Drosophila melanogaster: one gene and its partners. The protein of the gene in region 2 interacts with the protein of the main gene of each other region in a pairwise test. Each region holds a gene or a part of one and is shown on either strand. Other genes may lie near its edges.

The links.
Region 1: the proteins of CG32772 (region 2) and CG9302 interact in a two-hybrid assay, tested with the Drosophila melanogaster proteins (one large-scale study listed by BioGRID).
Region 3: the proteins of CG32772 (region 2) and Echs1 interact in a two-hybrid assay, tested with the Drosophila melanogaster proteins (one large-scale study listed by BioGRID).
Region 4: the proteins of CG32772 (region 2) and alpha-Man-IIa interact in a two-hybrid assay, tested with the Drosophila melanogaster proteins (one large-scale study listed by BioGRID).

Annotation. Positions count from the first base shown.
Region 1 is NT_033779.5:13,374,766-13,381,020, forward strand, and holds CG9302 (uncharacterized protein), read right to left. Parts: upstream 3,774-6,255; 5' UTR 3,593-3,773; coding exon 2,935-3,592; intron 2,886-2,934; coding exon 2,274-2,885; intron 2,211-2,273; coding exon 1,948-2,210; 3' UTR 1,690-1,947; downstream 1-1,689. Other genes in the region: CG6565 (uncharacterized protein), read left to right, coding at 1-386, 446-1,075; beta'COP (coat protein (coatomer) beta'), read left to right, coding at 4,257-4,611, 4,730-5,349, 5,412-5,994, 6,230-6,255.
Region 2 is NC_004354.4:4,907,127-4,915,313, reverse strand, and holds CG32772 (uncharacterized protein), read right to left. Parts: upstream 6,213-8,187; 5' UTR 5,995-6,212; exon of another isoform or gene 5,863-5,994; 5' UTR 5,556-5,862; coding exon 5,517-5,555; intron 4,463-5,516; coding exon 4,136-4,462; intron 2,934-4,135; exon of another isoform or gene 2,803-2,933; intron 2,572-2,802; coding exon 2,439-2,571; intron 2,370-2,438; coding exon 2,185-2,369; intron 2,111-2,184; coding exon 1,531-2,110; intron 1,469-1,530; coding exon 1,170-1,468; 3' UTR 153-1,169; downstream 1-152. Other genes in the region: CG6927 (uncharacterized protein), read right to left, coding at 6,707-7,854, 7,909-8,187.
Region 3 is NT_033778.4:13,851,335-13,857,095, reverse strand, and holds Echs1 (Enoyl-CoA hydratase, short chain 1), read left to right. Parts: upstream 1-2,764; 5' UTR 2,765-2,897; coding exon 2,898-2,994; intron 2,995-3,190; coding exon 3,191-3,915; intron 3,916-3,980; coding exon 3,981-4,046; 3' UTR 4,047-4,149; downstream 4,150-5,761. Other genes in the region: tum (tumbleweed), read left to right, coding at 1-543, 599-675; CG6553 (uncharacterized protein), read left to right, coding at 1,344-2,121, 2,178-2,359; CG30485 (uncharacterized protein), read right to left, coding at 4,278-5,761.
Region 4 is NT_033777.3:9,410,078-9,418,927, forward strand, and holds alpha-Man-IIa (alpha-Mannosidase class II a), read left to right. Parts: upstream 1-2,470; 5' UTR 2,471-2,616; coding exon 2,617-2,730; intron 2,731-2,783; coding exon 2,784-3,313; intron 3,314-3,645; coding exon 3,646-5,118; intron 5,119-5,352; coding exon 5,353-6,415; intron 6,416-6,511; coding exon 6,512-6,661; 3' UTR 6,662-7,187; downstream 7,188-8,850. Other genes in the region: Task7 (TWIK-related acid-sensitive K[+] channel 7), read right to left, coding at 680-953, 1,009-1,409, 1,464-1,525, 1,592-1,747, 1,811-1,940. UniProt on the Drosophila melanogaster protein: Catalyzes the first committed step in the biosynthesis of complex N-glycans. It controls conversion of high mannose to complex N-glycans; the final hydrolytic step in the N-glycan maturation pathway.

The DNA of each region.
Region 1 (6,255 bases), on a different chromosome or scaffold from region 2:
GCGATGGCTTCGATTGGAACAAGGAGCGCCTGGCCTTGTCCAACTTTGATCTGTGCCGCCGGGATATTGAGTTTATCAACGCCCTGCCCAACAATCAGCTGTGCGACCGCTGCCAGGCCAAGAAGATGAAATACTGCTACTGTCAGCTGGGCAACCAGCGCTGCAAAAAGGGCCAATCCCAGCCGTCCACCAGCAAAGAGGCGGAGACGGATCCGGACACCAGCATCAGCAATTGTCTGCGACCGTTGGATCTGGACGTGCGCAATGCACCGGCCGGAACGGTACGCATTCAGGCCCAGGACGACCAAAAATGGGAGCCGTACTTTAGCAAAAACGAATTCAGCATTTGGCGGCGGCAGGAGCGCTCCTCCTTATACTCATACAAGGTAAGAGGCCATCTAAAAGTTTTTTAGGGCTCACTTTTATGCCGCCTTTCCGTTTGCAGGTTTATGCTCGATTCGACGACATCACAGCGGACGACTTCCTCCACGTTCAAACGGATTTGGATTACCGTCGCCAGTGGGACGACACGGCCCTAAGACTTGAGCTCATCAGCGAGGATCCCGTCCCGGGCAGCAACTCGCATCTGATATACTGGGAGATGCAGTGGCCACGACTGTTCGCCAATCGCGACTACGTCTATTGTCGCCGCTACATAAAAGACGACAACAAGAAGCTGATATTCATTTGCAACCGCGGAGCCACGCACAACACCTATCCGGCGTTGTCTGGAAAAGTTCGCGTCACTGACTATTGGAGCCTGATGGTCATCAAGCCCTTTCGCGGTTTCCATGAGCCAGGCCTCCACTTTGTCCTCACGTACTTCGACGATCCGGGCATACCCATACCGCAGAATATTAAGTCCTGGGTTACTCAGAAACAAATGCCCGAGTTCCTCACCAAGATGTACGTGGCCACCAAGAACTACGCCTGCTCACGGGCCATCAAGATGAAGGACATGTTTCACGGATTCGCGCTTATCAATGACGAATATACGGCTAATGAGCAACGCGGCAGTTGGTTGGGCAGTTTGAGCCGGCGCAAGGTCAATAGTAAACCCGAAGCAGGTCGTTAACTCCTTTACCATTATATACCTGGCTGCTCCCGCTCCCATGAGACCTCCCTGCCCAACAGAGCCACGTATCAAACCATCCGAAAGCCCAGTTCCATCTTATGTTCATCCCTTCGATCGGCTTTAAAATTCAGGCGAGAGAAATCGAAACCATTGAACATCAGAGCAAGTGTGCAATAGGTGGAAGTTTTGCTCTTAACATGAGTGCCACTTTGATGAGAAACTTAAAAATAAATATATACCTATATTAGCTATATGGCTAAACCAAAATATTTTAAGTTTAGAAATTGTTTTAAACGCAAATAGAAATTATTGAAATTAATTGTACAATAAAAGAAACGAAAATAGACACCCAGAGACTGAAGTCTACAAAAAAGCAATGTCTTGCATAACTATTGATATTTTACGGCATTAATTTTCATTCATGCATAACATTATCTACACCAGATAGTAACACTCGTGCTTATCAAATAATTGGTCAAGCATTATCTTGAATTACCTTTTTTCAATTACAATTTCTCACCCGAACTTCGGCTATTCTTATCGTGCACTGTATACAAATCAAATTGGCTTAAGAGGATTACACTAATCTGATATGGTATTTAACATACTAATTTATATTTTTAATTAAATTTTATTATTTTATTATAGAGGGATAAGCGCAGTAAAAATGAAATTATACTATTAGTTATAACATAATTTATTAGTATGCTATATAGTTACAAAATGCGCATACATTCTATAAAATATTCGATAGTCTAGACGACATTCAAGCTGATTGTAAACTGAACGGAACGAATACAGTTTATGGTAATACAAAAAGTGAGATTGCAAAGTGTTGTGGGAGAAGCATCGTTATACTTTGCAACAGCGTATCACAGCTCTGTGCGGTCCGCTGAGGTAGGCGGGTTGTTCATATAGGCGATAAAGTCCTTGCTGGTGCGTCCGCCATTGTAATCCAGCTTGGTTTTGAGGTAAGAGAAGTACAGAATGGTGGGATATCCGCGTACGTTATACTTTGCGCAGAGCGCGGCAAGCTTTGTGCAGTCGATGGCGACAAACGCTATCCGAGGATCATCCTGTAAGGCCGTGGCAGCCGCTGTAAACTCCGGTTTTGTGTGCTTACAGTGTCCACACCCTGAAGACGGTTAGTCTTTAGTAGAGCTTTAAATATGTTTAACAATCAAGCGGCAAAACTTACAGGGTGCATAGAACATGACCAGCGCATGCTTTTTCCTCTTCAGCGTCGAACTGAAGTTGTCGTCATCCAGAAATAGGACTTCCTTGCTGTCCTCCTCCTCCTCCCAACTCTTTTCGGGTGGCGGAGGCGGTGGGGGCTCCTTGGGATCTCTCATAAATTCAACAATTTTCGATGCTTCGCGTACATTTACTTCAAACTTAAAGACGCCATTCGAGAAAAACTTAACAGTTGGATAGCCCTTGACTTTGTATTTCTCTGCGATTGACGGCTCCTTCGTTGCATCCAACGCAGCCAAAAGGCCGGGAATCTTTTTCTGCTTCATCTCCAGAGCGGCCTTTTCGTATTCCGGTTTCATGCGCTTACAGTGTCCGCACCAGGGTGCATAGAACATGACCAGGGCGGACTTCTCGTCCTTCAGAGCGGGCTCAAAACCCTGCGAGGTGAGATGGACAATCTCCGAGTTGGTATCCGCCGACCATTCGGGTTCCTTGGGCTTTGGCGTTGGCTTGGCATTTGGATTGAGCATAAAAGACACCAAAGCCTCCTTGTTGTTCTCTCCTTCGTATGTAAAGCGCAGCTTGCCGTTTTCAAAGTAAATCAGGGTGGGAAAACCTGTAAATGTATCGTTTAATTTAAAACTAAGCAAAAATTGTTAACTTACCAGTTATGTTGAACATTTTGCGTATAGGAGCGTTCTCCTGTCGCTCTACATTCATAGCCGCCAGAATATAACCGCCCTTAGTTTTCAACTCCGTAGACGCTTTTCCGTACTCTGGCTTCATTTTCTTGCAGAATCCGCACCACGGAACATAGAACATGACAAGCATGGGCCGGATATCCTTGCGTAAATGCTTTGTGAAGGATGCGGCATCGCTGAAGTGCAGGACATCCTTGCCGGCTGGATCCTCCTCCCAGGGCAAATCGCCGGAGGGATCACGCATGAAAGTGATCATGGAGCTGACGCTCAGCTGCCGGTCGTAGTCCTTGTGGAAGTCGCCATCCTTGTAGTGTTTAATGGCGTAGGGGTCCGGCGATACCTTCAACTTCTTGCACAGTTTCTTGCGATCCTGCTGTCCGCAATCTAGCAGCAACATTGTCCCGGTTCCCCGTATCGCCTCCGCCGCCTCACGGAATATCTTTAGCTCAGCAGCAGCGGACTTCGCACTGGTCACGTAGAGCGCGAGGACATTGTTCTTGGTGCGCAGCAGCTTCTTGAAGTCCTTATACTCCGCGATGTCATCCTGCACCGCCGAGGTTTTCGATTTTGCGGCAACAAGTGCCACCAGCAGAAGAAAAACAAACTGACCGGTTATCCACATCAGGCGGCTTGAACTTTACACCTACAGGTAACAATTGACCTAACTGATGCTATACTAGTTAGTGCGCTCTAGGTAATTGCATGTTTAACACAACATTAAAGCGTCATTCTTATTTTACAAAAAGAAAAACCGCAAGTAGAAGACGTGGACTAGTTGAGAAACCTATCGATAGGCAACTTTGAAGGAGATGGCAATAACAGCTTGGATCAAAGTGCCGGCTATTCGAAAAACACCTGTACCATCACCAACCAGTGCTGACGCTTAGCAAGCCTAGCGGCCAAATAACTTAAAATTAATATTAAAGGATTAATACTAAATATAAATATATTGGAAAACAATTGCAAATACATGTGCACTAAAATGTGCACTGTACTAAAATATTAATGACGAACAGCTTTTAAGTCAGGTACAGCTGTTGATTTATTAAAAGATTAATTGAAAGCTAATTTTTATTAGGTTAAAAATAGCCATATCCAAAGAGCTTGCGACTATCGATACGCCGATTAGCAGCGCCTGTACGTGGCAGGCGACAACCCTATGCCAGCTCTGACACATTAACGAAGCGAAGAAGAAGAGCAGCGGAGGCAGCAAAAGAGTTTTTTTGGTCTCGCCGCAATTAATTAGTGTTTTCGCAGACAGCCATAGTTGGCCCAAACCGTGGAAGATGCCTCTCAAACTAGACATCAAGCGTCGCCTGACGTCGCGCTCGGATCGGGTCAAGTGCGTCGATCTCCATCCGGCGGAGCCGTGGATGTTGTGCGCCCTATACAATGGCCACGTACACATCATGAACTATGAGAACCAGCAAATGGTTAAGGACTTCGAGGTCTGCGACGTGCCTGTGCGCTCCGCCCGTTTCGTGGCACGCAAGAACTGGATCCTCACCGGCTCAGATGACATGCAGATCCGTGTGTTCAACTACAACACCCTGGAGAAGGTGCACTCGTTCGAGGCGCACTCGGACTATCTGCGCTGCATCGCGGTGCATCCCACACAGCCGCTGGTGCTGACCAGCAGTGGTAAGTGAACGGCGGGGTGGTGTGACTCCCATTTCGTCACCCAATGTTTACCTAGTGCACCAGCTGGGAAGTATGCTTCGGTTTCGTGTCTTATTCCTGTTTCCTCTTTATTCTATAGATGACATGCTCATCAAGCTTTGGAATTGGGAGAAGATGTGGGCCTGCCAGCGTGTCTTCGAGGGCCACACCCACTACGTCATGCAGATCGTGTTTAACCCGAAGGACAACAACACCTTTGCCTCCGCCTCGCTGGATCGCACTGTCAAGGTGTGGCAGTTGGGCTCTAATTTCGCCAACTTTACGCTGGAAGGACATGAGAAGGGTGTAAATTGTGTGGATTATTACCATGGTGGCGATAAGCCATACTTGATTTCCGGTGCTGACGATCGTTTGGTCAAAATCTGGGATTACCAAAACAAAACCTGTGTGCAGACTTTAGAGGGGCATGCTCAGAATATCTCCGCAGTCTGCTTCCACCCGGAATTGCCGATCGTGTTGACTGGCTCAGAAGATGGCACCGTCCGCATTTGGCACTCTGGCACTTATCGCCTCGAGACCTGCCTCAACTACGGCTTCGAGCGGGTGTGGACCATCTCCAGCATGCGCGGCACCAACAACGTGGCTCTGGGCTACGATGAGGGTTCCATCATCATTAAGGTGGGCCGCGAGGAGCCAGCAATGTCTATGGACGTTGTGGGAAGCAAGATCATTTGGGCCAAGCACTCCGAAATGCAGCAGGTTAGTTAGACAATAACATATCCTTTCAACTTTATTTCTTACTTCGTTCTTTTCTTCTAAAGGTCAATCTAAAGACTATTGCTGATGGCACAGAGATCAAGGATGGCGAACGCTTGCCCGTTGCCACCAAGGATATGGGCGCCTGCGAGATTTACCCGCAGACCATTGCTCACAATCCCAACGGTCGTTTCGTCGTTGTATGCGGCGATGGCGAGTACATCATCTACACATCGATGGCCCTGAGAAATAAGGCTTTCGGTTCCGCGCAAGAATTTGTGTGGGCCCTCGAGAGCAACGAGTACGCCATCAGGGAGAACAACGGCACCGTTCGACTCTTTCGCAACTTCAAGGAGCGCAAGAGTTTTACTCCAGAGTACGGAGCCGAGAGCATATACGGTGGCTACTATTTCGGTGTAAAAACCTCATCCGGATTGGCCTTCTATGACTGGGAGACGTTGCAACTGGTGAGGCGCATCGAGGTGCAGCCAAAGAATGTGTTTTGGAACGAAAGTGGCAGTCTGGTCTGCTTGGCCACAGATGACTCCTACTTTGTCCTGGGGGTGGACACTGCCCAGGTTGCCAATGCCGTAGAGACCAAGGAGGGACTGGAGGATGATGGTGTGGAGAGCGCTTTCAATGTGCTGGGTAAGTTGATACCAATTATCTAATATGTATCTTATCTTTAGAATACGTGTCTCAAACACGATTTCTCAAATGAGATTCCGCTTTCAATATTCCTATAGAGAGCATACAACAATGGTTTACTCTGTATTTCACCATGAGAGCAAACTATTTTAAATTTAAATTTAAAAAAATATTTCCATTTACCACATAATAGCAAGAAAGTATAATTGTATTGTATTATGCATTTGTGTTGCAGGCGAGGTTTCGGAGTGCGTCAAAACA
Region 2 (8,187 bases):
GCAAATAAACTATATATACATATATGTATTATATAAAACTGATCGCTTGTGTCACTTCTGAAATATTTATATATATATATTCAAAATATATAACAAATTTCACCCATTCAGAAGAAATCTTTCGTTGTAATGAAAATTTGTCGGCTTGTTTTCGTTTCTTAATGTTGATTTTTTGTAATGGTTTATTAAAAAAAAAATAAAAACACTTAAGCTAATGCCTAACATAAATACATACCGAATTTAATCGAATTGTTTTTCACTTCTTGTTTTCGTTACTTTTCTCTATGCGTAATTACTATCAATTGTAGGTAATTTGTATTTGCTTTCTGTTTTTTTTTTTTTTTTGTTTTTTCAACATTATATTTTCCGTTTCGCTGCGCCTTTGCATTACAATAAAATTTTAATTCGATTTAAGTTTTACAGATTTCTCAACCCGATCTCATGTTTATATAATATAATGTATATATAGATGTGGGTGTTATGTGCATAATTTTATAAGTCAGTTGTGTTTTTGTCTGTCCATCTGGTGCTGCTGCTTTTTCTCCTTATCTCTTTCGATGTCATGCATTGCTGCTAATATTCTTGGAAATTTATTCAGGGGCATTTGGTTCCTCTATTGCTTTGGCTGCTGAATTCAAAACAGGAAGTGGGAGACAGACACCAAACTGAACCAGCAGCTTGCCGCCGACTCTAAATTCGGGATGTTTTGGAAGTCCACTCGCCGATTTCAAGATAATTAAGTGGATTCTGATACCCAAAAAGTTGATGCTGAACTCAATGCGAGAGTAGGACAAGTGCATCTCAGAAAAACTAAAAGCTAGCTTTAATCGATGAACTCGACTAACTCCCCCATTCCATTCTGATTCAGAATTCAAGGACGAAAACGCTTCCTACTGCCTGTTCCATACCTTTTTTTCACCAATCCAGCATACGCTTAACTCCACGGGTAACGCATATAAAGAATGATTTCTACATCAACTTCAGACACCCAAAAGTATTTAGAGATCTGCAGAGACTCCAAAACATCCGCGCCATATATCTAACATATTTTACGTGTGTATGTGCTGAATGTGATGCTACTTTGGCTATGGCTATGCTAATCAGGGACTTTAGCAGCTGATCGTTCGGGGCTTAAGCTAAAAGAGACCTTCTTTCCATTCTTAACTAGCCTACTTAGTGGGTATGAAACGCGCCTTGACCGCCTGTCCCATCGGCAAGTGCAGCAGTTGCTGCTGCTGCGCCGCCTGCTGCTGTTGTTGCGCCGCCTGCTGCTGCTGTTGTTGTGCCGCCTGCTGCTGCGCCTGCTGCTGTGCCGCCTGCTGCTGCATGTGCTGATTGATCTGCTGCTGGATGGACAGGCCGCTGACATTGCTGATATGCTGGCTGTGGAGCGATTCGTTGATCTCGATCTTGATGGCCGTGGCGGCCAGCGTTGTCGCCTTGTTCTTGTTCTTCGGCGGACGCCCACCTGGATATGCAACGAAAGGCGTAGTGAGATTCAAAGTGAATGAGTGAATGGTGAGCACTTACGTTGCCCTGTCGTGTGCTGCAGTGACAACGGCTGGCCGATCATCGCCAGCGGCTGTTGCGACGTCTGCAGCGTGCCCGCCTTCTTGGATCGCTTCGGAGGCGGCAGCTCGTGGTGGGCGTGATTGGTGAGCAGGTGCTTGGAGAGGTGCTGGCGCACCGCAAAGGACTCGGCACAATTGGCCACCGGACAGGAGAGGTAGCGACCCTCGACATGGCGCTGCACGTGCTTCTTCAGCAGCGACTCCTGATTGAAGCTACTCGGGCAGATGTCGCACTTGAACTTGAACTCGTCGTGCATCTTGAGGTGCTGGTCGAGATGGGCCTGCTGCAGGAACTTCTCGTCGCACTTGTCGCACTCGTACGGAAAGGCCAGGCCGTGGGTCTTCATGTGCGTATGCAGCTGCGACTGCAGTTTGAAGTTCTTCTCCGGACAACGCGGACAGTAGTAGCCGGTGACCCCAGCGTGCGCCTGCAGGTGCTGGTTCAGCGAGGTCACCTGCGTGAACTTCTTGTTGCACACGTTGCAGCAGTACTGCTGCACCTTGTGGTGCGACTTCATATGGTTGTTCAGGTTCGTCACCTGCAATGCGAGAACATATCGAGCCGTTATTATCATAAATCCTCTGCAATTTATCAATTTATCTTGGAACTGACCTGGGCGAAGCTGCGACCGCACTCCGGTTCATTGCAAACGAAGGGCCGTTCGCCGGTGTGCAGCCGGCGGTGATTGTTCAAATTGGTGATCTGCGTGAAGGTCTTGCCACAGTCCACGCACTGATATGGCCGATCGTTCGTGTGGATGCGTTCGTGGTTCCGCAAGTTGGCCGCCTGCGTGAAGCCTGAAAATCCAAGAGGTACATCGATTGTTAAGAACCAGATGATGTGTGCGAACGGCATATGGGACTCACCTTTGTGGCAGTAGGTGCACACAAACTTACGCTCCGCCGAGTGATTTCGTATGTGCGTCATGAGCGAGGATTTGCGCGAGAAAGTTTTGTTGCATAGCGGGCAGGAGCCCTCCTCGTTGAATATCAGATCCACCTTAAAGAAACAAATCGAACATTAGTTGCAAAGGGCTTGCCTTCTACCGCGGGTTACCTTCCATCAGAAAGGCATTATATATGATATGCCATTTTACTTTAATACAACCTACTATAAATTTATGCGAAAAACCTTTTTTCTAAGCTGTACATTATATATGCATATAGTTCTAACGAATAAGTAGCCAAGTGCACATCACTGTGTCACTATCGCCCTCCCACTCCCACTCACGCTCAACAAGCTGGCGGCCAAAAGAACGGATTGCAAATTCCCGTGCGAATTCAGTTTGTTTATTGGGGAATCACTTGAGTTACATTTAATATTTTTCACGAGCTTTTTTTTTATTATAATTATTTTATTTATTTTTCTGCGTGCCACGCACACCCACACACCAAAAGCGCCAACTGAAAATGAATTTTTTCCGCTTTACACAGCGCACAAAAACGCCGAGCTGCGTCGACTTCGACGTCGACGTCGACAGAGCAGATATTAATGGAAAAAGAAGCACAAAATATATGTGTATATACATATATCTATATATATATATATATATACATATAAATATAAAGGAAAACAAGAAAATGAGCAGTGCGAAATGTAGCAAGTGGAATAGAAAATACTCTCACGCTCAACACTTTTCTAACCCGTTTGTAATGCATATCTGTAGGGCCTACCGTTTTTAATCTTCTATAAGAACTTTCCAACACTACCACGTCGACTGTGTGATGGAATGAGACTGTACTGAAGTTTTTTTTTTGAAATTTATGTAAATAGCAGCAATAGTAAATAGTATCTAAACATGTCTGCAATAGAGCATTCCCAAGTCGTCGCAAGGCAATTTTACATTTATTTATACATTTTTTTTTTTTGCAATTCTCTGTTGCATGATGGAAAAAGAAAGGCAACAAGAACATGCAAAGAAACGGCGAAATAAGAAGTGAAGAAGAAAAGCAGCGGCTATGAATGTGCAGTGTGTCCGTGTGCATTTATGTATATGTATATGTAAGACTTTTGTGAGCGGGGGAGTAGTAGTGAAATGTAAGAAAATGAAGAGAAAATAGCACAACAATAATAAACAAGTGCAGCAAAAGGAGCAGGAGTCGAACTCCCTGGGAAGTAAAGCACTCTTCTGAAAACGGTTGATGGGGGTCTTCAAACCCCTATAATTCCAAATGCAATGCATCTACTGAGGATTGCAGTGAACTCTGTAATTAGGTTTAAATTGTCAATTTTTTTGAATCATTTATAGTTTGATGGGCAATTGCATTGATTGGATTCCTAAACCATAGAACACTTTTCGTGGACTATTAAACATTAGGATTAAATTTTAAATTTATTCATAGATATTAATATACATATTCAAGACGTTCATATTTTAGTTGAAAATAAGAACGACCTTCAGTTATTTACTTTATTTATCTCCTTTAGTAAGCCCTTTGCAGCACTGTATTCGCTGCCACTTCTTGCCATGCCTCTCGTAACACTACACGTAGTGCAACCCACTCACTATGCCCTTTGCAACACTCTCCCTGCCTTGGTATCCCAATCCCTGAAATGGACTTACGTCTTCGGAGTCGTCCTGCGACTGTAGGTTCTCGGAAGAACTGGATGATTGCATTTGCTGCTGTTGTTGTTGTTGCTGTTGCGAGTTCTGATGCTGCTGCTGCTGCGGATTCTGATGCTGCTGCTGCTGCGCGATGGCGTCGCTGTCGCTGGAGGAGGCCGTCGACGAGGAGGTGGCCGCCGCTGCTGCAGAGGCGGCAACTGCGGCCGAGGCAGAGGCAGCGACGGCTGCAGCGGCCGCCGCCGACTGATGGAAGTTGGAATTATTTGTCAACTGCTCCGAGCAGCGGACGCACGTGGGTATGCTATAGCCGGGCACCTGGAACAACTGTAGGGCGGGGGAATAGAATAGAACAGAACAGGACACGTGAATTAGAGAGTGCTTCCAATTGGAAAAAAAAAACCAATAATGCTCTTTATTTATTGTGGCAACTCAATCTTATTCCACACATACCCTCCCCCTTCCATGCCAACTAGCCCTTTCTCTTTTCCACCAACTAGAAATAAGAGCCAAGAAGATAAACACACGCACACACACAGGCACGCACACATGGAGAGCGAAAAAGAAAGAAAAGAAACTACAATAACAACAGCACCAGCAGCTCGTTGCTTTGTTGTTGTTGTTTTCATTTCATGTTATTTTTTTTCTTCGGTACAACGTTTTGTTATTCTTTCGCTTTTTGTTTTGCTTTGCCGCCGCTCTGCCAGCGGCGGCGGCAGAGGCGTCGCCTACAAAAAAGGGGTTATTTGGTAATTGTTTAAATAATGAACTAAAAACCAAGCAAAGTTAGATCTGTTTTGTTAGTTTTATAACCGCTTAACTTTAAATTTTTGGGCTTAGATGCCCAATATAGTAAACCCTCTGTCACTAAATTAACGCGCAGCCACTGCGTATTTGGCTGCCTTGGCGCAATTTCTGTCATTTTGTTTTAATATGTATTTCTTTTTGTGCGGTTCATGGGCGGCGGGAGGGGGCTGAAAGAGGGGGGCCTGTTCGGGGGAATAGGTTGAAAAGGAGTCAAAGTGAAAAGCGAGTGGCGAGCGTAAGCAAAATGTAAAAATAATATTTTTTCAAGTTGTCGGCTTGAACAACTTTTCGGGCTGAGTTGGCTAAAAATAAAAATTGTTCAGCAATAGTTTGGGGTCGCATGTGTATGTGTATTTCTTATTTCTGTGTGTGTGCGTTTGTATGTGTGTGGGGAAAGGGGGGCAATGCGCGCGCTTTTGAACCCCGCCCCCTGCGCCAACAACCCGCCCGCACAATAACAGTAGCGCGAATTCAATTGTTTAAACTCCACCAAAAGAAAAAAAATCAATAGAAATAACAAAGTGTATATACCTAAATCACATGTGTGTATATCTTTTTTTTTTTGTTAACATACCGTTGCCGTTTGGAAGCACAATCTACAGATGGTGTCCATTATAACAGTAAATAAGGAATAGGATGGGGAGCAGGAGAAGGAGGATGCACTTTGTTGCTGACTTTTGCCCCCTCTGCGGTCGTTGTTGTTGTTGTTGTCGTCCTTCTCCCTCGCAATTTACCGCTATCTTTACCGGTTAACATTCAGCGCCGTTTTTCTTTTTCGTTTATTATTATTTAGTTCGTTTTTTTTCTATCTTTTTCCTTTTCCTTCCTACTATAAGTTTGTGAACACGATCCAAACGATGTGTGGTTGTATTTGAAACTAACTTTTTGGAGTTTGGTTTGCGTTTGGATTTCGGTGATCGCTATATGGCATATTATGATGGCAAAAACAAAAAAAAAACTATATAAATGATATAGAAATTTGATTTATACGATATTTTCGTGGTACACACACACACGCGCGTTGTTTATGTTTGCCTTGCACTTGCACATACAAGCAAAAATGCGGCGCTGTTGTTGTTGCTGCTTCGAAGTTCTGCTTCTTTTTTTTGCTTAATTCCTTTGCCCTTTTTTTGGCGTAGTTACACGTGAAAAAAAAAACAAACCAGCGCGTTCGAATGCGTTTTTTTTTTGTATTTTACAATTCACGACGAAGTTTTTGTCCGTCGTCTTTTTTCCCTTTTTTTTGGGGCCCGATGTTATTGTTGCGCTGTATGCGTGAGCCGTGTGTGTGTATGTGTGGGGAAAAAACGAATACGATAAGAATACGCGGTATAGTTGTGCTGCTCTAACCCACAGGTTGGCTTGGCCGGTGCTCCTTGGCCTGGCCTATCGATATTTCTATCGATTTCCGTAATCGAAAACGAGGCGGGTAATGGAATCGTTGTTGAAAACAAGTTTTTTAATTTATTATTTATTTAATATTTAATTGCAAGTCCGAAAGATTTATTTTATCATAGGTTATTTTATTTAAATAATTGATGGTGTTTTTTAGGCAGCCATAGAATCATGAACTTTATTTTACAACAGAATAAATATAAAATCATTTTACAGAACAAAGTGAAACAAACATAATACAAAACTTTCACAATAATTAAACAAACTATGCTAAACGATGGGTACAAATAATAAACACTTTAAATTGGATACTTTTCACAATATTAAATCTACTGTGTAATCTAATAATAAAATGAAATGGACCTTTTTTTAAATACAGTAGACAAATGTCCAGAAAAACAGATTAAAGACGAGAAAGGAGAGCGGAAAAACGAATCTGGCTCGACTATCAATCCACATGGCTATTTCCTGGGGCGTTAGCGTGGTCCAGCCACTCAGATCGATCTCCTCCTGGTGCCCCGCGCTCTCCGTTCGGTTATTGTTGGTCAAAGTTTGGCTGCTGCTGGCAGCACTGATCGCTCCAGTGGACTGGGCAGAGCCCATGGATCCAAAGGCACTCTCCACAAAGTTAACATCCATCTTCTGGACGACGCGGCTGGTCCTCTGCTGATCCAGAACTTGGCCCTCCTTAATCGTGGTGATGGGCAAATTGACGGTTAGGTAATTGTTGAAACCGGCACCGCCCAGCGAGCCGGTATCCGCTGTCTTATGCAGAGCCGTGCCCGAAAAGGATCTGGATCTGGCGTGACTGCGTCGTCTGAGCAGATTCGGCGATAGAGTTGACTTCAGGATGTGTTTGCTGTTCAGTTTCTTGACGGGCACACTCTTCTTACGACGCCAAATCGTGTTAACAAAGGCGAACTCCACCATGCTGCCAAATATGAAGATGGTGCAGCCCAGGAACCACACCTCTGACACCTTGATGTAGCTAACCTTTGGCAGAGTCTTTCCCTGTGCCGAGGCCAGGGTAATGAATGTCAGCAGGGTGCTGGTGCCCAGCGTGATGCGCGGCGGCGCCTGATCTGCTTGCAGCCAGAACGATACCCAGGATATGGCCACAATCAGCATGGAGGGTAGAAAGTAGTCCATCAGGTAAAAGCCAACCACTCGCGTCAGGTGAACGGTGAAGCTGAGGGAGCTGTAGTTGCCGGCAAAGGCTCCATGACGCAGGTCACTCAAATCGGCATTGATTACCGTCTCGTTTGACCAGGAACGCTGCAGCACAAACTCGGTGAGATGCAGTGCCCCATCGTAGGTTATCGGACGCTTCTGCTCCCAGTGGAGGACCAGTTCCGACGTATTGTACATCCAACTCTCCAGCACCGTCGAGCAGTGCTGCTCATCGAATGGGAACTTCTTAAGGTTGAGCCAGCAATAGAGTGTCGCCTTGATGCGATTCGAAACGATCACTGTGCCATCGGGCGATATCGAGGTGAGGATGTCCTTCTCCGTGAGACCTACCAATTAGTTGCAATCAAGCACGAGTCTACTCCAGACTCTACCGTACTCACCCAAAATACTGGAGTCGCGCTCATTGGCTAGAAATATGTGGGGCATCCAGAGCGAGTTTCTCAGGTGCTCCTCGCCCAAAATCGGCTGCCTGCGCTTGGGACTTACGTTGCGAAAGTTGAGACGCGGATCGAGGTATCGCATTTGGAGGAGCGCATAGATCTTGAACTGTAGATCGTGTGCTTCCAGGTTCTGCATGAAGTAGATGTAGGCGCGCATATAGACGTCCACCGGTAGCCGCTGGCCAGTTTCCGAATAAGTTATGGGTCGTTCCAAACGAT
Region 3 (5,761 bases), on a different chromosome or scaffold from region 2:
CGTCGGAGCGGGAGTACAAGGCCCTCAAGGAGCAGTTCCTGCGAGGCAAGGCCACTCCACATTTGGGCAACACGGATATCTATGTGCTGTGCTGTTGTGTCAAGGATTTCCTGAGGTCCCTAACAGAGCCTCTCATTCCCACCAGCCAATGGAAGGATTTCGCAAACGCAGTCCAAAATCCTGACACCAAAACTGCCCAGGATATGTTGGTTAAGTCGGTGAAGCAGCTACCACAGGCCAATAGGGATACGCTGGCCTTCCTCATACTGCACTTCCAACGAATTGCCCAGTGCCCAGTCGTGCTAATGCCGATCGATAACATCTCGCTCATCTTTGGCCCCACCATTGTGGGCTACTCCACACCAGATCCCGACCAGCATGCGATCTACACGGAAGTTTTCACCCAGAAGCAGGTGATGAAGGCACTTCTTGAGCTGCCCGTTTCGTTCTGGGAGCAATATATCGTTATAGATCCGACAAGAACACCGGCCACAGTTATCAAGCGGGTGCCAAGCAACAAAAATGACTTACTCTCGCTATATGGTGAGTTATTTATGAGCTAATTTTTTTAATTATTCTAATTATCTCTCCTTCACAGCAACTCCCTTCAAAGGAGGCACCATTAAGAAGCGGAAGTTTTACGGCACACCGCCGGCATCTGCGCACAAGAAATAACGAGACTTTCCTTGTTGGAAAGCATTTGACGTGTTACTTAAGTTTACTTCAAGTATTTTGCAAGTTTTTTGTTTCCGGCCAGCCAACCCCGAGCTGTATTTGTACCCAACCCAACCATAAGCTTTTCTTTATAATTTATGCGTTCGATTATAAACTAAAGCACGTTATTATCGTACTAACATAAGTATACTCACCAGAGAAATAAACTAAAATATGCATTTGAAAAGCAATAAGAACAATGAACAAATATATAAATAAACGATAAAAGAATATAACAAGTTTTTATTCAAGTTCAAATATTTTTGAATCTGTTTAGTGAACTTACTTTTTTATATTCTTGATGGCAAATTATTGGAGGCATGTTAGTAACCAAAAGTATATTAAACATTTCCGGATTTGGATTTGGAAACGGGAATGTTTCGCCACAAAACGTGCATCACAACTAATGGCAAACTCGATACAACTTTGGAATATCCCTTTGATAGGATTATCTAAAAACGTGATAAGCTCGGTCATTGAAAATACTGACTGCCGCTCAGAAAACCCCATGACTGATAATTGTGCACAGCTAGAGCCGTATCATCATCAAACTGGTTTGGACAACTCTCGTAATAATACCCTTAACTGCGCCATGGAACCGTCAGTCTGTCGATTGGAACCCATTTAGAATGTTCGGAGCGCATCAGAATCTCTCAATTCAGCTGGTGATTTTTCTCTCCTTAGCCGTCACCATTTGCTTGGGATCCCAAAATGCCACAAGCTGCGGGCATCGCTGTGGAGGAGGCGACTGTATCCAACTGGACCAGCTGTGCGATGGGAGCGCCAACTGCTTGGATGGTTCCGATGAGACGGTCGCCATGTGTGAGAAGGTCTGGTGTCCGGGTTATGCATTTCGCTGCAGCTACGGTGCGTGCATAGCCAGCACAGCGGTTTGCGATGGCGTCCAGGACTGCGTGGATGGTTCGGATGAGCAGGGTTGGCTGTGCCGGGCGCAGATGCAGCAGGCTAACTGCGACAACTGGGAAATGTACTGCTCCTCTGGCCAATGCATGACCTATTCCAAATTGTGTGATGGCATCCGTGACTGCCGAGATGGAGACGATGAGCTGGAGTCCCTTTGCGAGGGCGTTACCATACCAACGACTACAGTCAGTTCAACGACAAGTACAACTACGGAAAGTAGTATCCATAGGATAACTCCCACTGTTCCTGTAACAAGGAAGGCGTCACGACCAAATCCTCTTCAGGAGAACGGGGAGTGCGTGGTTCCCCAACTGCCAAACGTTATGGTTAAGCACTTCACAGATGCAATCCTCACTGTAGGATCAAGGGTAGCCAATGGCACCCGTATCTACTACGACTGCCCGGCGGAGCACAGACTGAAAGGCGAGAACCAGAACATTTGCCAGGACGCATTGTGGGCTAGGAAGTTTCCTTACTGTGAAAGTAAGTTGTGTATTTATCAAAAGTTTCTTCATTAATACTAATTTATTTACTTTTAGCACCCCAAGCGTATGTTTTCAGCTTGGTTATAGTAATATTCTGCTTCCTAATCGTGGTATTGGTGTTTCTAATTTGGCGGGTGCGTCGAGAAAATGGCTCAAGAAGGCAACGAGAGGAGCACATTTGGCTGGTGGAGACCAGCAGTAATCTTCCCCAGACATCTTCAATACCAAAGGTCTAGGAATTAATTTTTACAAAGCTAAACATGTGATCACGCATACTTACTTATTTACCAGCCAAGTTGTTGATAAAAAGTACTGTTAATTTCAAACTATCTAGGCTTATCTTATGTAAATAATGTTATTTCAAGTTCTCCATAAAAATTAAAAGCTTAAATACGAATGTATATTTATTTTTAGAGTAAAACGTGAGAAGTAGTATTATATTGTAAATATATTAAAACAGATTTAAGAACATAATAATTGTGTTATTAGGTTGCACATTTTAATTTCGGCTGTTAACAATACTTTTGCGTTAACAGCTGTAATGCTAGAACCACTTGTTGCTGCGACCCAAACTGTGACTGAAACAGTGACTGGAAATAGTGGCATTTCTGGTGGGAGCGAACGCGGTCACACCTGCCCCACTAGTGCGCCAATATTGCTCCAGTGCTTCGCAGCGTAAGTATCCCAAGTTCTAGAGTGGCTCCATGCCAGATACCGCCACAGATTAGATAACGAATTGCACTTGCAGCCGGCTCAGAGTTCCTTCAATTGAAAATGGCCAACATTGCTAAGATCTTCGCTAGCCGCGCCCAGTGCGTCCTGCAGGCAGCCGCCCGTCAGCCACAGGTGGCCACCCGTTTCAGCAGCTCCTGTAAGTAGATGGTTGATTGCGAGGGATCAAAGTCCACGCGATTGATGCCCAGCTCCAACCTAAGCCGGAATATCAAGATATCAAGTGCCGCCGGTTTCTTGGCGACATCTTTTGTACTTTTCCAGGCAAATAAACATTGATTGCGTAACATTCGCGCACATACGATCACCTCATTTATGATGCCATCTCTTTTCAGCCACCAACAACAACTGGGAGTACATCAAGACCGAAGTGGCCGGCGAGGGCAAGAACGTAGGCGTGATCACCCTGAACCGCCCCAAGGCCCTGAATGCCCTCTGCAATGGCCTGATGAAGGAGCTGTCCACCGCATTGCAGCAATTCAGCAAGGATAAGACCATCTCCGCCATCGTTTTGACGGGCAGCGAGAAGGCCTTCGCCGCTGGCGCTGATATTAAGGAGATGGTGGGCAACACCTACTCGCAGTGCATCCAGGGCAACTTCTTGAACGACTGGACAGAGGTGGCCCGCACCCAGAAGCCCATCATTGCTGCCGTGAATGGTTACGCCTTGGGCGGTGGCTGTGAGCTGGCCATGATGTGCGACATCATATATGCCGGTGACAAGGCCAAGTTTGGTCAGCCTGAAATTGCCCTGGGCACCATTCCCGGTGCCGGTGGCACCCAGCGTCTGACCCGCGTCGTTGGCAAGTCCAAGGCCATGGAAATGTGCCTCACCGGCAATATGATCGGCGCCCAGGAGGCTGAGAAGCTGGGTCTGGCCAGCAAGGTGGTGCCCGCCGACCAGTTATTGGGCGAGGCCGTCAAGCTGGGCGAGAAGATCGGCACCCACTCCAATCTGATCGTGCAGCTGTGCAAGGAGGCGGTTAACACGGCTTACGAGACCACTCTCCAAGAGGGCCTGAAGTTCGAGCGTCGCACCTTCCATGCCACGTTCTCCACGGTTAGTTCAAGTTTAAATATCTGCTTAACACTATTTAATCTCTTGTATTTTCTTTCATCCAATAGGCCGATCGCAAGGAGGGCATGACCGCTTTCGCCGAGAAGCGCCCTGCCAAGTTTACCAACGAGTAAATACTACCCTAATCAATCCCAGCCAGCTTTGCATTTATATTATCTAAAAGAAAAACTGTTGTTTCTACGCAATTAAAACTTTAATCGTGATAATTTGAAAATGAACAATTTACCATAATTTGTCATTAGTATATGAGGTATGCTAGTCCGCATGTCAGGTGGTAATCCATTAGTATAAACATGGTATGGCCACTTGACAGTCGGCTTGCTAGCCCGATTATCCTCCTATTTCTAATCGAAACAAAATAAGTGCTTAGGTGACTTCCATGGTTGTGTCTTGTTGCTTTCGAGTTTGGAAGGCATGTTTTTTGGAAAATTGTGCGCTGTGTAGCGTTGCCTTCGTGAAGAATATTCAATCTCATGGAAATCTATACCTCCCCGTATCCTTCTCGAGCCATGTGGATTTTTATAGTGCCTGGAGGCATCGGAGTCATCGCAACAACGAGCTAAATGTCGATAATTTCGTGACCGTGAGTAGTTCTTATCCCTGTGCATGGGACAATGTTCTGTAAATCGGAAACGATTCCCCTTTGGTTCAATCACACAGGGATCACTTAGTTCGGTGGTAAACTCGTAGTTTCGATATGTAACCAATCCTCGACGTATGCCCGGATTTTGTGACTCAGTTGGCCGTGAGGTGAGCAAGTAATCTGTGCACGGCCTGCATTTCTCTACATGCCTCTTAGCCCGCTTTTTGCGCTCCCGATGTTCCTCCCACTCCCGCTGGGCACGGGATACCAAAGGCTGAGGAACTTGACAGGGAGCTGTCTGGCGTGTATCATTTGAGTGGCAGCTCCAATGACTGCAACTATCCGAGGAACAACTTCTGTTACGTAGTGGGGATTTCTTTGCTTGCGACTTCTGATAATTCCTGCCTCTTGGTGGCCGCCTGGAACAGGATGGTTGCCCAAAGGAGGAGTTGGTACTCCTGTACGTAACGATTTCTGAGCCCGATGTGTGCGTATTTCGTATCGAATTGCCTCTTTTCTTTATAGTTGTAGACCATAACTTGGGATCTCTTGGTCCGCGTATATCCAGGATACTGTCCTGATCCCTGAAGGAGATTTTCCTGTCCAAAGGATTCATTTCGCTGCATATTACACTTTGCTTAACTTTTTGATGCTCCAGATCAGAAGTCTCCCTGAAATTTATAGACCGGGGGCTATGCCTAGGTCTTTCGCTCACCGATTGATTCGACTTAAACTCAATTGCTTTAGATCCTGACCAGAGAAATCGCTTGGCAAATGCATGTAGTCTGGGCAGCAGGCGTGGTTTCTTTGAGAGATGTCCATCTGAATCTGCAGTCAACTTTCTTGAGATAAGTCCCGGCCATCTGGGATTACTTTTGCATGTAGAAAGATTATCTTCCCAGTCAAGTGAACTGTCAATTGGAGCTCCTTTCCGATTTCTACTGTGTCCTAGTCCAAATGACTTAAGATTCTTGGCACGCGAACAAGTTAGATGATTGTGGTGATCGAGAGAATCTGAGCTAGTTTTCTCAACGATCTGTTGATGTGTGGAAGTGCTGCAGGTACATACATCCTCACTTTGATCTGAATAATCCCGACTGCAAATGGTTGGCTGGATACATCTTTGGCGCACTCCACAACTCCGCCTGCTGTCAGCCTCCTTTAATCGCCGCTTCACCTCGCCCCTTACATTCGGATGCGTTGTGGACCAGTAGTAAGAGTACGGCTTGCTGTCTGGAAACATTT
Region 4 (8,850 bases), on a different chromosome or scaffold from region 2:
TTTCACACCGAAAAAATGGTACAAAAAAAAATCGAGCTTTTAAAACAGTCTGAGTGGGGCAAAAATCGGCAAAAGACTGAATATTTAAACGTATAATTTTTCAGGTTTAGATTTTAGTCGTGTACGTGCTAGCTGATACTGAGGTGAACTGAACCTGGCTTGGATTACTACACCGAATGTTCACAAATAGGCTACTACGATTTCCGACTTCGACACATTTCACACACCCCGATTTCAGAAAACTCAGTTCTCCGTTTTGAGCACAAACTTTAATAGTACTTACATAGATAAACGAATATACGGCTAAAATTCGAGATGGGATGGATTTGGCGGTGCCTTGGAAGCAATAGAGGATTCCAAGGCTACCGACCAGATGATACGATTGATATTGACATGGATGTCCTGGATTTTACTCCTTTGTAAATGTTTATATGGGTGTATAATGGGATGGGTCGATTATTTCTTAAGCAAAAACTGCCTTTTAAAGACTATTAACCTTGCTCTCCAAACTTATATGTATTATGACCCATCCTGGTTTAAAAATCTACGTAGGGAGGAAGGTTTGTCTAACAACCAAATTTTGGCGGCGGATGGTTCTCTACAGGATTGTAACTACGATTTGGTGATCCATTGGCTCTGGCTCCTACAATGAGGAGTCCCACAGCTGGCTGTACGGATATCAGACGGAGGCTCGCTTCAGGCACAAGGTGCTCTCGATAATGTCGGTAGGCTGAAAGTCCGGGTCCACGAACTGCTCATGATTCAGGCACCTGGTGCCACCCATGCAGGTGCAGGAACACAGGGAGGCGGTCTCATCGTTCTCCGTTGTGTAGTTGTTCTCCAGCAGCTTGCCGTGCATATTGTACGTGGACTCATCATCGAAGGTCACCGGCTGGGCATTTCCAGCCAAGTTCTGAGCATCCTGCTCATCTCTCTTGGCATCCTCTGCTTGCCTGTGATTAAAAATCCATTAAATAAGATATTTCCTGCAATAGAACATGGACTCACATGGTCATGAATCGGAGCACCAATAGATTGATACTGGCGGCCACCACGGCCAAGCCGAATAGGATGAAGACCAAGCTCAGCGCCACATAGCCAGGCTTATTAGTTAGAGCTTGGTCGTTCTGCAATGCCACATAATCGCCGAAACCAATTGTCGTCAAGGTGACAAAACAATAGTAGAAGCTATCGAAGTAGCTCCAACCCTCGTATCGGGAAAAGACTGCTGCTCCAGTGGTGATTATTATGGAGGAGAGCATTCCGGTGGCCAACATGAGATTCATTTCGGTGGCATCCGTACAGCGAGCTCCACTGGCTCTCTTTGCCCGCCTTATTATCACGGATGCAAACTTATTCAGACGTTCTCCGATAGACTGGAACATCACCAGACCCAGCGGGATGCCCACCTAATAAGGGAATATCTTTAGAAGACTGGAAATTGGGATTGTAAGTTCACTTACCATAGCATAGCCCATACAAAATGCTTTTCCCGGAATTGTAACTGGCGTAGAATGACCATATCCTAAAGAAAGTTACAACAGAATTATAATCTATTCAATAAATCATATTTAATAGATAATTAATTTACCTATCATTGCCAGTACAACCGTGCTGAAATAGAAAGCTCCAGCGAATTTCCACTGAGGTCCGGCCTTGTGGGGCTTATTTTCAATGATGACGATTTCCATCACACGGAAATCCTCGTCAGTCACATTGTACTTTCTAACAAAGTTGTTCTTAACGGCTACAATTGATTAAATAAATTCATTACTAAGAAATTAGGTTAATAAATCAACAAGCTTCTCACTCTGTAGGAATTCCCATCTTTTGGCCTCCGTTGGTGACTCCAGGGAATCGAACACGGCGGCTCCAATTAAAAGATAGGTGAAAGTGCATACCACCAGGGAAAGGGTACGGACATTCTGTCGCTTCATCATATAGTCTCAAATATAATCACTACGATCTATAATCAATTAATATATTTTGCACCACGCGCCTTTTTCGTTCAGTTAAAGATGCTGCGTCTGACAAAATCGATAGTTGTCAGCAAAACAAACACACAGCATCCGCCAAAAATGGTTGATTTCGGTTACAGTGGCCGAATAACATATGATACAATGAATTTTAAAAATTTCATCATTCTTTAAATATGTAATAAGTTTTCTTTTATCTATTGATTTGACCGTTAATCTCAATAAAGGATTGTGATTTTACCGTTAGTTTATCACAACAGAAGCAACAGAATTTGATGGCGTTGCCACTTGGCGGTATCTGTTAACTCTGTACAGCTAAAAAGCTGTAATGTCACGATAACTAAGGATAATAATAATTTTTTTAAAGGATCAATATACACAAACAACATAAGAGTTTTATTACATTTTCTTTAATTGCCTTTAAAGTTTTTGTCTTTCTAAGCCATTTTAACAATTTAACATTTTGCAGTTAGCAGCGCCGATAACTTGACAGCCTATCGATTTTCGGGAAAAGCAAACATATCGCCAGATCTGATTTGTTTATGCTAAAAAAAAACCACGCAAGTTCCAACCGATTGGATTGTTGCAGTTGGCTGCTGTGTCTCTGACGTCGACGTTTCCATGCTTAATTAACCGGAAAATGTTGCGAATACGTCGGCGGTTCGCTTTGGTAATTTGCTCCGGCTGCCTGCTGGTTTTCCTCAGCCTGTACATAATCCTCAATTTTGCGGCGCCGGCAGCCACCCAGATAAAGGTAAATAAATGCTTCTAAATCAATTCGAATGTATAATAACTTCTTTATTTTAGCAGCCCAACTATGAGAACATTGAGAACAAGCTGCATGAGCTGGAAAATGGTTTGCAGGAGCACGGGGAGGAGATGCGGAATCTCAGGGCGCGTCTTGCCGAAACATCCAATCGCGACGATCCAATAAGACCTCCACTTAAAGTGGCTCGTTCCCCGAGGCCAGGGCAATGCCAAGATGTGGTCCAAGACGTGCCCAATGTGGATGTACAGATGCTGGAGCTATACGATCGCATGTCCTTCAAGGACATAGATGGAGGCGTGTGGAAACAGGGCTGGAACATTAAGTACGATCCACTGAAGTACAACGCCCATCACAAACTAAAAGTCTTCGTTGTGCCGCACTCGCACAACGATCCTGGATGGATTCAGACGTTTGAGGAATACTACCAGCACGACACCAAGCACATCCTGTCCAATGCACTACGGCATCTGCACGACAATCCCGAGATGAAGTTCATCTGGGCGGAAATCTCCTACTTTGCTCGGTTCTATCACGATTTGGGAGAGAACAAAAAGCTGCAGATGAAGTCGTAAGCATGCTTTCCCTATATAGTATTGATACAATAATGAATAACGGTAGTTAACCCACAAAACAAAGTGCAATGCCATTTTGCTATTGCATTCCATAAACCTTACACAGTTGTTATGTGCAGCAGTGAAATATTTTACTTCGTTATTGCGTCAAAAGCGTTTAGATAAACAAAATGCATGATCACGCTGCTTGTTTTCCGAAACAGCTTTGTACTTATCTACCTAATATTTATAACCCAAAGCAGAAATAGGAATTGATAAGCTTTGCAGTCTCAACAACTACAATATTTAGTTTTTAACAAAAAATAATAAATTATTTACTTATTTACAGCATTGTAAAGAATGGACAGTTGGAATTTGTGACTGGAGGATGGGTAATGCCGGACGAGGCCAACTCCCACTGGCGAAACGTACTGCTGCAGCTGACCGAAGGGCAAACATGGTTGAAGCAATTCATGAATGTCACACCCACTGCTTCCTGGGCCATCGATCCCTTCGGACACAGTCCCACTATGCCGTACATTTTGCAGAAGAGTGGTTTCAAGAATATGCTTATCCAAAGGACGCACTATTCGGTTAAGAAGGAACTGGCCCAACAGCGACAGCTTGAGTTCCTGTGGCGCCAGATCTGGGACAACAAAGGGGACACAGCTCTCTTCACCCACATGATGCCCTTCTACTCGTACGACATTCCTCACACCTGTGGTCCAGATCCCAAGGTTTGCTGTCAGTTCGATTTCAAACGAATGGGCTCCTTCGGTTTGAGCTGTCCATGGAAGGTGCCGCCGCGTACAATCAGTGATCAAAATGTGGCAGCACGCTCAGATCTGCTGGTTGATCAGTGGAAGAAGAAGGCCGAGCTGTATCGCACGAACGTGCTGCTGATTCCGTTGGGTGACGACTTCCGCTTCAAGCAGAACACCGAGTGGGATGTGCAGCGCGTGAACTACGAAAGGCTGTTCGAACACATCAACAGCCAGGCCCACTTCAATGTCCAGGCGCAGTTCGGCACACTGCAGGAATACTTTGATGCAGTGCACCAGGCGGAAAGGGCGGGACAAGCCGAGTTTCCCACGCTAAGCGGTGACTTTTTCACATACGCCGATCGATCGGATAACTATTGGAGTGGCTACTACACATCCCGCCCGTATCATAAGCGCATGGACCGCGTCCTGATGCACTATGTACGTGCAGCAGAAATGCTTTCCGCCTGGCACTCCTGGGACGGTATGGCCCGCATCGAGGAACGTCTGGAGCAGGCCCGCAGGGAGCTGTCATTGTTCCAGCACCACGACGGTATAACTGGCACAGCAAAAACGCACGTAGTCGTCGACTACGAGCAACGCATGCAGGAAGCTTTAAAAGCCTGTCAAATGGTAATGCAACAGTCGGTCTACCGATTGCTGACAAAGCCCTCCATCTACAGTCCGGACTTCAGTTTCTCGTACTTTACGCTCGACGACTCCCGCTGGCCAGGATCTGGTGTGGAGGACAGTCGAACCACCATAATACTGGGCGAGGATATACTGCCCTCCAAGCATGTGGTGATGCACAACACCCTGCCCCACTGGCGGGAGCAGCTGGTGGACTTTTATGTATCCAGTCCGTTTGTAAGCGTTACCGACTTGGCAAACAATCCGGTGGAGGCTCAGGTGTCCCCGGTGTGGAGCTGGCACCACGACACACTCACAAAGACTATCCACCCACAAGGCTCCACCACCAAGTACCGCATCATCTTCAAGGCTCGGGTGCCGCCCATGGGCTTGGCCACCTACGTTTTAACCATCTCCGATTCCAAGCCAGAGTGAGTAGCCAGTTAAAGATTACCCATTTATCAAAGGAACAAGAATCCTTTCCGTACTTTCTGTATTAATTGTACATTTTCGTAACACGTTTCGCTATGCCGTTTCCTTAAACCATTATAGAGTGCAGGTTTTATTTATTGATATTAATATTTCATTAACCAGATGCCGTAATTGTCTTCTATTTATACTATTTATTTATACTTTTTCAATAAGCATTTCAATGTTACTTACAGGCACACCTCGTATGCATCGAATCTCTTGCTCCGTAAAAACCCGACTTCGTTACCATTGGGCCAATATCCGGAGGATGTGAAGTTTGGCGATCCTCGAGAGATCTCATTGCGGGTTGGTAACGGACCCACCTTGGCCTTTTCGGAGCAGGGTCTCCTTAAGTCCATTCAGCTTACTCAGGATAGCCCACATGTACCGGTGCACTTCAAGTTCCTCAAGTATGGCGTTCGATCGCATGGCGATAGATCCGGTGCCTATCTGTTCCTGCCCAATGGACCAGCTTCGCCAGTCGAGCTTGGCCAGCCAGTGGTCCTGGTGACTAAGGGCAAACTGGAGTCGTCCGTGAGCGTGGGACTTCCGAGCGTGGTGCACCAGACGATAATGCGCGGTGGTGCACCTGAGATTCGCAATCTGGTGGATATAGGCTCACTGGACAACACGGAGATCGTGATGCGCTTGGAGACGCATATCGACAGCGGCGATATCTTCTACACGGATCTCAATGGATTGCAATTTATCAAGAGGCGGCGTTTGGACAAATTACCTTTGCAGGCCAACTATTATCCCATACCTTCTGGTATGTTCATTGAGGATGCCAATACGCGACTCACTCTCCTCACGGGTCAACCGCTGGGTGGATCTTCTCTGGCCTCGGGCGAGCTAGAGATTATGCAAGATCGTCGCCTGGCCAGCGATGATGAACGCGGCCTGGGACAGGGTGTTTTGGACAACAAGCCGGTGCTGCATATTTATCGGCTGGTGCTGGAGAAGGTTAACAACTGTGTCCGACCGTCAGAGCTTCATCCTGCCGGCTATTTGACAAGTGCCGCTCACAAAGCATCGCAGTCACTGCTGGATCCACTGGACAAGTTTATATTCGCTGAAAATGAGTGGATCGGGGCACAGGGGCAATTTGGTGGCGATCATCCTTCGGCTCGTGAGGATCTCGATGTGTCGGTGATGAGACGCTTAACCAAGAGCTCGGCCAAAACCCAGCGAGTAGGCTACGTTCTGCACCGCACCAATCTGATGCAATGCGGCACTCCAGAGGAGCATACACAGAAGGTGAGCTTAGAAGTTTATTATATTAATATCAAAGAAAGTGGAAATGGTATTTATTTATAATTAACAATATTGTTTGACTAATTGTTCGTTCGTCAGCTGGATGTGTGCCACCTACTGCCGAATGTGGCGAGATGCGAGCGCACGACGCTGACTTTCCTGCAGAATTTGGAGCACTTGGATGGCATGGTGGCGCCGGAAGTGTGCCCCATGGAAACCGCCGCTTATGTGAGCAGTCACTCAAGCTGATCGCAACGTGTTATGGCAAAGGATAAAGCAGAAACTGAAGCCAAGCGACCATCTCACAACCTATGAATCTCGGACGCTAATCCACTGCAATACAGGCAATCTTCGTTTAATGTTCGACTTAAGCACTGACTGCACCGAAAGACGTAATGCGTAATCCATACTACGTATCATTTATTTATTCAAGCTTCCACACGAGGGTTTGGAAATTCAATCCTATGACGCAGCGGTGTATTTTTCGCACCCCCGTGTAACTACACGTTTTACTCTGTTTCCCCTAGTTTTTTACGTTTTTTTGTGATATCCATCCAGTCCCACAGCAAGCAATACATGTCTGTACTCGATATCCCCAATGGGGTTATTGCCTATAACAATGAATCGTAACTATAACTAACGTTTAACTGTAAAGTAGGCTTAGTGATAATGACGCAACTGCAATGATATTAATCTCGACGTTTGTTTTTTACAAATTGAATAAAATTGAGTCTCATTTAGAATCGACTTTTACGTGCTATTCTAAACTAAAAACATAACGACTGTTTTTATTCGAAAAAGGAAAGGATTTGTATTACTATTCAAAATCGTCATTTAGGCTTTAGTTAGAATCGTGTTGTTGGTAAGTTATGAATGCACTTTCTATGAATATTTAATTTTTCTCAGTAAACTAAAATAAATACATTTTAATTTAATTTTTAACATTACATTTAATTTTTTTTTTAATATTGTAAGTAATGAATGTTAGTAAACAGTTGATCTTTGCATTATTAAGTTTTGAATTTATGTGGATTATGAAACGAGCTTTTGAGACGACTAATTAAAGCCATAATCATGAGTTATAGTTTTAGTGGATGAAAAACAGAATGCAATCTTATCAGCTCCAGTGCGGGGTACTATTATTGCCAGAATGACCTACAGAGATAGAGATACTAAGAGCGCGGAATTGGAAAATGCACAATGGAAATGGAAATCCGGATTGAGTGTAAAGTGGTTGTTTTGGATAGAGAGCGAATCGCTGCGCAGTTCGCTCTCTTCAAAATCCGAAACGAGCAACGAAAGCAAAACCGAATCCGAATCGGAATCCGAATTCGTATTTGTATCTGTAAGATACGCTCTCGCGCTCTCTTCAACGACGACCATCGGAATTTTTCTATACAGAAACAAAAATCTCAGTCAGCTCGCTGTTTTCAAGTTTGGAATCCGCATTTCAGTTCAGTTGGATTCAGTCACAGAGTCAGAGCGTCAGATTCAGATCATCGTGGTCGCCAGTGAGTTTGTTTATATGTTTGTGGCTGCCTGTGTGTTTGCTTGTCAAGTTCTGCAACAAAAACAAGGCATCTAAACAAAAGTGGTTCAAAACAATTACGAGGAATAAAATCCAACTAAAACGAATAATAAAACACACAGTGTCGCTTAAATCGCAGAGTATCTGCAGCTCTAGTTCTTGTTGTTGTTGTTTTTTGAGGCGGACTGGAATTTAATTTAATTAAATCAAGTACGAATGTGTGCGTGAGTGTGTGTGTGTGTGTGTCTAAGCTGGGTTCTTGAGTTGTTCTTGTTCTAAGTTCTTTTTTTCGTGGCGTGTATCTGTGTGCGCGTGTCGTGTGCTGGTTTGCGTGTGCTTTTTGTGAACTACGTTTTGTTTCAATGCCAAAAAAAAGTATCTATGCCCTGGCATGTGCTCTCTCTCCATCTCTCTCTCGCTCGCTCATGCTGGTTACATAAATACTGGTAGAAGAAGTGGAAGAGATGGTGGTGAAGAAGGAGGAGGCGGAGGTAACAGAAATTGAAATACAAATTCAATTAACACCTGAAAACGAAAATCCAACTGGAACGCAAACGTCTGATTGGATAAGGAAAATAGAAAACGGGCAAACATGTGTTTGAATTTCCAACTCGTCTTCTTCTTCCCGTCCCTATGAAATGTTCAAAAGCAAAGCTCCTTGAAAGAGGAGGGTATAAAAGAATGTGGAAAAGAGCAGCAGAACCAGAACGAGAACACCAAAAAAAGAAAACGAAATTAACGACGTCACATAAAAGTGTGTCAAAGCAGCAGCTCACGCACACCAGCGTGCGCCAATTTGTATCTGTGTGAAGCTTTAGCTCTCTCCCTCTCTCGCACCGTCCCTCTCATTCGCTGATAAAACGCAACGCACACAGCGCGTATACATAATTTATATATTTATTTAAATGTT